2 linked regions of the Bombyx mori genome follow. The protein of the gene in region 1 purifies or fractionates together with the protein of each later gene. This does not show direct contact. Links are inferred from orthologs where the notes say so. Each region holds a gene or a part of one and is shown on either strand. Other genes may lie near its edges.

Region 1 (4,221 bases):
ACAGTAATCTTTAGGCTGTGGTGGAAATCATTGCATAGCAGTTGTGCTACATTGACTAGTACCTATTTATACTATTGAAAAATTCCAGTTATTCATTAAGGAATAAAGAGCAATAAAGATGAAATTGATAATTGGTGTTTATTAATATTTTAATAAAAAAAAATATTGCTTAGATGGGTGGACGAGCTCACAGCCCACCTGGTGTTAAGTGGTTACTGAAGCCCATAGACATCTACAACGTAAATGCGCCACCCACCTTGAGATATAGTTCTAAGGTCTCAAGTATAGTTACAACGGCTGCTCCACTCTTCAAACCGAAACGCATTACTGCTTCACGGCAGAAATAAGCAGGGTGGTGGTATCTACCCGCGCGGACTCACAAGAGGTCCTACCACCAGTAAAAAAAATTAAATGCAGGACTATAAGCTTAATTTAAATATTTATTTTGTATGCAAATGGTGCTAAAATAAAGTATGTTTTTAGCATTATCGCTTTTTCGTCTTTTGTGAACATAGATTAAAATGCCAGTTTATATAATAAAAAAATCTTTGGACGTGTTTCTAATTTAGTTTAATTAAATCAATATAGTGTAGGCAGACAATTATAGATTTTGATTTTGTAGTGGATACCAGTTACTGGACATGGGCCTTCTGTACTTTTCAGTTAAAACTGGTCGCGTTCCTGTATAATTATCCTATAGCAAGGCTCTAAAAACAGTAATTTCTTGAAACTACTTGCACCCCACCTCTCACACTGTACGTAGGTACTCTAAATTAAATTATGGCTTGTTTTATTCTGAAGTTTTTAGGCATGAAATTTTATCCAAATGCATCCAGTAGTATTTGTGTGAAGTATTAACATCCAATATCAGTAAATTTTGCATGTCTAAGAATATAAAAATATGAAGTCATAAAGACAAAATGATATGTTCAAAATGGATATTTTGTTACATTAATATGAACATGGTCAAAATAAATATATCAATTTCCTGTCTACATTCTAAAGTTAAACATATCACAGCCTGTCTTACTGATAACGATGAAAGCTCCCAAATTGTTGGTAAAGAAATAAAACACTCAGATATCACAATATGAAATGTCACTTTAATTAGATAAACCTAGTTAAACAGTAAATGTGGCTCAATGTATTACAAATCAATGTTAAAGCAGGCCAGTCTAATTACCAACAAAATGAGCCACAGCAGTAAATAGGTATGGGAATGAAACTTAATCTATCGTCCTTCGATGTAGGTAGAGAGCTCAATTTCTTCAGGCAGCTCTGTAATGTTCACATCGAAACGATCTTGTACTTGGTTTAAGATCTTGGCATCATTTTCATCAGATATCATAGTAATGGCCAGACCTTTGGTACCAAACCTTCCTGCGCGGGCGACACGATGTAGATATGTATCTGAATCTTCAGGCATGTCATAGTTGAAGACAATATTTACCCTTTCAATGTCCATTCCCCGGCCAAACAAATTTGTTGCAACCAGGATCCTTTTTTGGAAGTCCTTGAACTGTTGATAGCGGGAGAGACGCTCATCCTGGGTCATATTTCTGTGGATACCAATGGCAGGGAAGTTTTGGTCGGTGAGCAGTTGTGCCAGAGCTATGCAGCGCTGTACTGATTTCACAAAAATAACCACCTGATTGAACTCCAATACATCAAGTAGTTCGAAGAGTTTTTTATTCTTCTCATTTTCTTTTAGTTTCACATAATGTTGCTGCAGTCCATGTAGCTTGAGTTTGGCTTCATCATCTACATAAACTTCCATTGGGTCTTGCATAAATTTCTTACACACAGGTCTGATTTCTTTACTCAATGTGGCTGAGAACATCATCACCTGTTTCCCGTGAGGAGTGTTCCGGAATATCTCCTGCACATCTCGCCTCATGTCTAGAGATTCCAGCATCTTATCACACTCATCAAGGATGAAGTGTTTTAAATGTTTCAAATTAAGTTTCTTACTGTTTACTAATGCCAAAATTCTACCGGGAGTTCCCACTACAATGTGAGGACATGCTGTCTTAAGGACTTCCTCGTCTTTCTGAATTGGCATACCACCAAAGAATACTGATACTCTGACTCCTGACATATATTTCGAGAAACGCTCGTACTCCTTACTTATTTGGAAAGCCAACTCTCTGGTGTGGCACATTACAAGCACGTAAACGTGGCTCTCGGAGGGTTCCAGCTGCTGCAATGTTGCCAAAACAAACACGGCTGTCTTACCCATACCGGACTTGGCTTGGCAAAGTATGTCCATACCGAGGACGGCTTGCGGAATGCATTCGTGTTGAACTTCGGAAGGATGCTCAAAACCGCAATCAACAATAGCGCGGAGTATCTCTGGCTTAAGTAAGAAGTCTCTAAAACCAGAACTGTGGATGGATACGTAGGATCCTTTAACCTCCTTCTTTGGCGCCACTTCGGTAGACCCGTCAGCAGTCTGTTGATCTGCTTGTTCTTCATCTTCGTAGTCGAGAAGATCGTCGTTGTCAGCCATGATTTACTTTAGTTTAATTAGCTTGTTTACTGTATCGTACTCACTGTGAGCACGTGAAATTTATTTTTACAATACGATTTCACAATAATGGCGGCTTCGGCTTTTTTGGCGTCAATCCAAACTTTTTTTGTTATGTTTGACAGTTAAATATGACGTGCCACTTGGCTTTTTCGCCACTCAACAGTTTACGAGAATTAAATTTGCAATTTGATTTTTGATTAATTTGAAATTTTATTTGTGTAAAGTAAAAAGAAGAACACAGGCGAACAGCTATAATGCAATCATAGTTTTTATTTTCACGTGAGCACGTGAATAATATGTCTTTTATATGATTTTTTTCATGTCATATTATTTTTTGAAATGACCCATTTTATGAGTATTTAAAAATGAAATACTTAGAGCAGTGATTATCAAACTTATTTCTTTTACCGCCCCCTTTGAATATCAATTATTTTTCAGCGCCCCCCATTTTTTATACACCCCTAAAACTTTAAAACCACAATTTCATTAATTTAATTAATAAATGTTGTATTAATTTTATTAAATGTAGTACCACGTAGTACATATATATTTGTAGATGCTATTATTGTTTCTTCATATTATTATATGTCCGTACATTGCTACAGAGCGTGTATTTACAAATTTGCAAAGTAAAAATGAATTCTTCTCATCAATATGTTTGTTTAAATTCAGAATTACCAAAATAAATTGCTAGTTCACTGTACTATTACTATGCTAATTTATTAGAACGAAACTATTTTTGTTGAATATCTTTCTCATTAATATAAGATTCTCATCATAAGATAATTAAAAATTTATATTTCGACTAGTAAATAATACTACTAACAATAATAACTTATTAAACTACGAATAAGCTAAACCTGGAAGACGTAGAGGATTTCATTTATCTGGGCTCCGTCATAGCTAGTAATGGAACCTCCGAAAAGGACCTCAGAAGGCGAATCAGTATGGCAAAGAGGGCTATGTTCCAAATGGACTGTGCTTGGGTGGCATTTTTTTCTACGGCGCAGAGACTTGGACCCTCAAGAAAGCCGACCGCCAACGCATCGACGCGTTTGAGATGTGGTGCTGGAGGAAAATGCTCGGGATTCGTTGGACAGAACACAGAACCAACGAATCCATTCTTACCGAGCTCAAGATTCCAATGCGCCTCCGCACTACATGCGCGCGGAGGAGTTTAGAGATCTTTGGACATATCGCCAGAAAGAGAGGTGAGAATCTGGAAAAGTTGCTGGTAACAGGCAAGGTATGCGGGAGAGGGCACAGAGGCAGAAATCCAATGCGCTGGTCGGACCAAATACGCTCCACTCTCAAAACTTCAGTCCACGTTGCTATCCATACAGCCGAGGACAGGCAGGAATGGCGCAAGATGATGCAGGAGAAAGTTATTAGAGGAGGCCGCGACCCTCAGCACTGAGGATTATCGACGCAAGAAGGAAGGAAACTACGAAAAACAAATTAATATCATTTCGTATTATAGATAAATATGGGTAATTTTTCATAGAATTTTAGTTTATAATTTAGAACTGGTTCAAATAAAAACCGCCACCTAAGTCAGCGTTTTTATTATTTGTAATAATTAATATCTGTACTAATATTATAAAGAGGAAAGTTTTGTTAGTTTGTATTAAATAGGCTCCGAAACTACTAAGCCGATTGGAAAAATTCTTTCACTGTTTGGAAGCTTCACT
Region 2 (4,212 bases), on another chromosome or scaffold:
TTTGTCCAAATGTACAGATTGCCACCTTTGATAATAGACGACTCAAATAACGTTAGAGCGATAACTATGGTTTTAGTGTATTAATATTATTTTTAATTTTCGAATTACATTTTAGCAAAAATAAGCAATTTTTTAAATGATGTTCATATTAAACCGTCTCTACGGACTCGTATCTTCTTCAAGAGATAACTCAAAATGAAACAATGAGCATGAGGCAACATTGCCACCACTATAACCATTAAGTCTATGACCAAAAAACACACACGCACTCAAGTTATATAGACTTATTGACAGATATGGAATTTTGATTTAATTTTTCTGCGGTTGATACAATTCAGAATTATAAAACCAATACTGTGTAATTACTTGACCCGGTGATAACTGTGGTGTTTCAATATACATAGAATCCAAATGACATGCAGTGTTTCTATTATTCCGAAACACTCAAAGAATTTTTAAAAGCACACGACTTATCATATAACTCATTTCCAGATTTAAAAAAAAATCTAGGTCCCAAAAATAAGTTCTAAACACAGTTAAATACGGTGCAAGCTTAAATGGCTTGTGTGCCCGGTCATCGTTCTCGTCGAACCCGTTGCTTGCGACGAAGGGCTTGACGAGTAAATAAACCCACAGACACAGCCCACTGAGTTTCTCGCCGGATCTTCTGAGTGGGTCGCGTTTCCGATCCGGTGGTAGATTCTCCGAAGCACTGCTCTTACTAGGGTTCGTGTTAGCAATGTCGTCAGTTTTGAGCCCCGTGAGTTCACCTACTAGTTAAGGTTCCGCTGATATAGCCTCTCAAGAGTCTCAGTTTAGGAACGAAAAAAAAAGTCTTGTGTACATATTTATTACTCACTTATCAATTGATGTTTAGCCTCGTAAGTAACACGCAGCGTGGTCTGCTGTACGCCCTTCCATTCGCACCACCGTAGCTCTGCCTCTTCGCCTTTGTTGTGTTCTCTCTCCCACATCTAGGTGAAGCATAAACAAAATTATAATACAATTTTATTTCACTACGGAAACAGCCACGCCTCTATGGAAACTTTGTTAGCTTGCCTAAAGATAAATTAACAGTAACATAATATGTACAAAAACGGTGCGCGTGCAACTTGGTGCACGTGAATGAAGTGTAACTACTATTTCGATGTGTAGTATTGTAGTTTTCTTCGTTTTTCATCCTTAAATCAGATTGCTCTTGTAACAGGGAATGTTGTGTATAAGAGATGCGTCATCTTCAACATTTATATTATATATATTTTAAATTATAGATAGAAAAATATATATATATATATTTTTGAATACTTCAGTAAAATATTGGACGCTGCTCGTTACTAACGCTCTCGCTGGCCTGTAAATAGGTCATACTACGCGCATGCGCTCGAGTGGCACGCCTTCACTCTCGCGCTGTCTCTTTCTATTCCATGGCAGCGTTAAATGTTTAACGCAACCTTGTTGGAAGTCGCATTAGAAGTCTCACTTCAAAAATAGACTTCCACACATCACGTTTGTGACGTAAGTTGTTAGTACATAATATACGCATGAATCGATAAACACAAAAAATATATATAATATATAAATATATGAAGTACCTGGAATGCATTCAACATGGCCACGTGGTCGGAGGCCCGGTCTCCGCCCAGGGCTCTCTGGTGCATCGACAGTCTCCTCCGGCCTTCGAGCACGAATATTTCCGGGAACGTTGTAGAATTAGCCGCCATCGTGGTCAGGGCGTCTCCAACGCCAAGCACAAAGCCTAACACCATCATTTTGCCGAGGCGAGGTTCTGAAATGGAGCATGTCATTACTGGTGGTAGGAACTCTTGTGAGTCCACGCGGGTAGGTACCACCATCCTGCTTATTTCTGCCTTGAAGCAGTAATGCGTTTCGGTTTGAAGGGTGGGGCGACCGTTGTAACTTTACTTGAGACCTTAGAACTTTTAACTCAAGGTGGGCTGTAAGCTCGTCCACCCATATCTATATATATAAAAATGAATTGCTGTTCGTTGTTTCGCTAAAACTCGAGAGCGGCTGGACCGATTTGGCTAATTTTGGTCTTGAATTATTTGTGGAAGTCCAGACAAGTTTTAAAAGGTAGATAAATATGAAAATGCTCAGAATTAAATGAAAATAATAATTTTGTTTTTCCTTTGATGTGTCCCCCGTCGGACAGATTCCTTTTGTTTGTTTTAATTTTATTTTATACAAAAATTTAGGTCTTTTATTTATCGATTGAGGCACTACGAAGTCTGCCGGGTCAGCTAGTATTATGATATCTTTATTCTTACATATCCGTAACGCAAAGAGGTTTATACATTTATCAGAAGCACGGTGACTAGACCGAAAGCGCAGTCGTCCATGGACATCAACAATAGCAGGGCTACAAAAGCCTCGTCGTCCCTCTCTTCATCTCCGGAGTAGTCGGAGTCCTATATAACCCGGTTCGTTACCCCCCCCCCCCGTACCGGGTATTCGTAAATGGATTCCCCAGTGTTAAAAAAAAAGGGTGCGTGTACGCGCGTAAGAAGTTATACTTTATTTTTATTACATTTATTTCTTTTTTTTTATTTAAATTTTAATCCATTTGAAAAACAAAAAAACGATTAAACAACATCCTCAAACACGCATATTGGACATCCCTTTTGTTGACATCGTATAAATTCGGTAATTCTCGGTACGGTTCGGAAAGTTCACCTGCGGCTATATTCAGACTCGCCAAGTTACGTCGGTGGTATTGTAATTAGCGTAATGTAAAATTTCACTCTCATCAATTTTTCATAACGCGCCTAAAGAAGTATTACTTAAAAAAAAAAAGGGCTACAAAAGCCGCAGTCACCTATCGGCAGCTTGGCGAGGATGGTCCCGAGTGGCGTGAGCGCGTCCTCGGCGTCCAGACAGCCCAGCTCGCGGAGCAGAGCCTCCGCCTCGATGACAGCGTCCAGCGGCGGGGGCTCCGGGGCCTTCGACAGGAAGTGACCGATCGCACCCAGGCGGAGGAGCTTTATGCTGTCAATTAAAATTCACACATTAAACAAACAAATTATAGAGCACCAGTGGTAGGATCTCTTGTGAGTCCGCGCGGCCCTGCCCATTTCTGCCATGAGGCAATAACGCGTTTCGGTTTGAAGAGCGCGGCAGCCGTTGTAACTATACTGAGATCTTAAAAGTCATATCTCAAGCTGGGTGGCGCATTCATGTTCTGGAGCTTAGACCATCAGCTTAGGTAGAAAAAAAAGTTTTTTTTTTTACTTTTTTATTACTTAGATGGGTGGACGAGCACACAGCCCACCTGGTGTTAAGTGGTTACTGAAGCCCATAGACATATACAAAGTAAATGCCGCCATCCACCTTGAGATATGAGTTCTAAGTTCCCAGTATAGCTACAACGGCTGCCCCACCCTTCAAACCGAATCGCATTACTGCTTCATAGCAGAAATAGGCGGGGTGGTGGTACCTACCCATGCGGTCTCACAAGAGGTCCTACCACCAGTAGTAGACCTAGACCTTGGCTTAAGAAAACTACCTTTAATAGTTGCAAAAGAGCTATCTTCCATAATAGGTGTATCTAATGTCCTAGGTCCTACCACCAGTAATTACGCAATTTATAATTTTCCGGGTTTGATTTTTATTACACGATGTTATTCCTTCACCATGGAAGTCAATCGTGAACATTTGTTAAGTACGTATTTTATTAGAAAAATTGACACCCGCCTGCGGGACTCGAACACCGTTGCATCGCTACATACGATTGCACCGGACGTCTTATCCTTTAGGCCACGACAACTTCAGAACTTGAGACAGCTGTAGGCAGCGGCTTGGCTCTGCCCCTGTCATTGCTGAAGTCTATGGGCGACGGTAACCACTCACCATCAGGTGGGCCGTATGCTCGTCTGCCTACAAGGGCAATAAAAAAATAAAAAAGACTACCTCAAAGCAAGCTCGTGTAGCGGAGTCCTAAACATTTCGGCGGCCAAATGTTCCTCAAGTTTCTCGTAGCGCGCGTACGTGCACAGCGTGAAGCACACGCCGGGCCGCACGCGCCCCGCACGCCCCTTGCGCTGTAACAAATAATATCATATTACCTTCATTTATTTTTTAAGACATTAATTTTTTTATTTATACACGGACCATTTGTTGCTCAGAGATCACCGGGGTCCATAGAGATTACCGCCATCAACCTTGAAACTGAAGAATGAAGTCTCAATAGCATTG

The links.
Region 2: the proteins of ATP-dependent RNA helicase WM6 (region 1) and MLE purify together in Homo sapiens (affinity purification with mass spectrometry, with the first as the bait; 3 studies listed by BioGRID). This does not show direct contact. The link is inferred for Bombyx mori from reciprocal best matches to the Homo sapiens genes DDX39B and DHX9.

Annotation. Positions count from the first base shown.
Region 1 is NC_085122.1:1,017,975-1,022,195, reverse strand, and holds ATP-dependent RNA helicase WM6, read right to left. Parts: upstream 2,902-4,221; 5' UTR 2,510-2,901; coding exon 1,232-2,509; 3' UTR 1,082-1,231; downstream 1-1,081. UniProt on the Homo sapiens protein: Involved in nuclear export of spliced and unspliced mRNA. Component of the TREX complex which is thought to couple mRNA transcription, processing and nuclear export, and specifically associates with spliced mRNA and not with unspliced pre-mRNA.
Region 2 is NC_085132.1:4,397,871-4,402,082, reverse strand, and holds part of MLE (MLE protein), read right to left. Parts: intron 4,059-4,212; coding exon 3,928-4,058; intron 3,007-3,927; coding exon 2,837-3,006; intron 1,787-2,836; coding exon 1,593-1,786; intron 975-1,592; coding exon 860-974; intron 1-859. UniProt on the Homo sapiens protein: Multifunctional ATP-dependent nucleic acid helicase that unwinds DNA and RNA in a 3' to 5' direction and that plays important roles in many processes, such as DNA replication, transcriptional activation, post-transcriptional RNA regulation, mRNA translation and RNA-mediated gene silencing.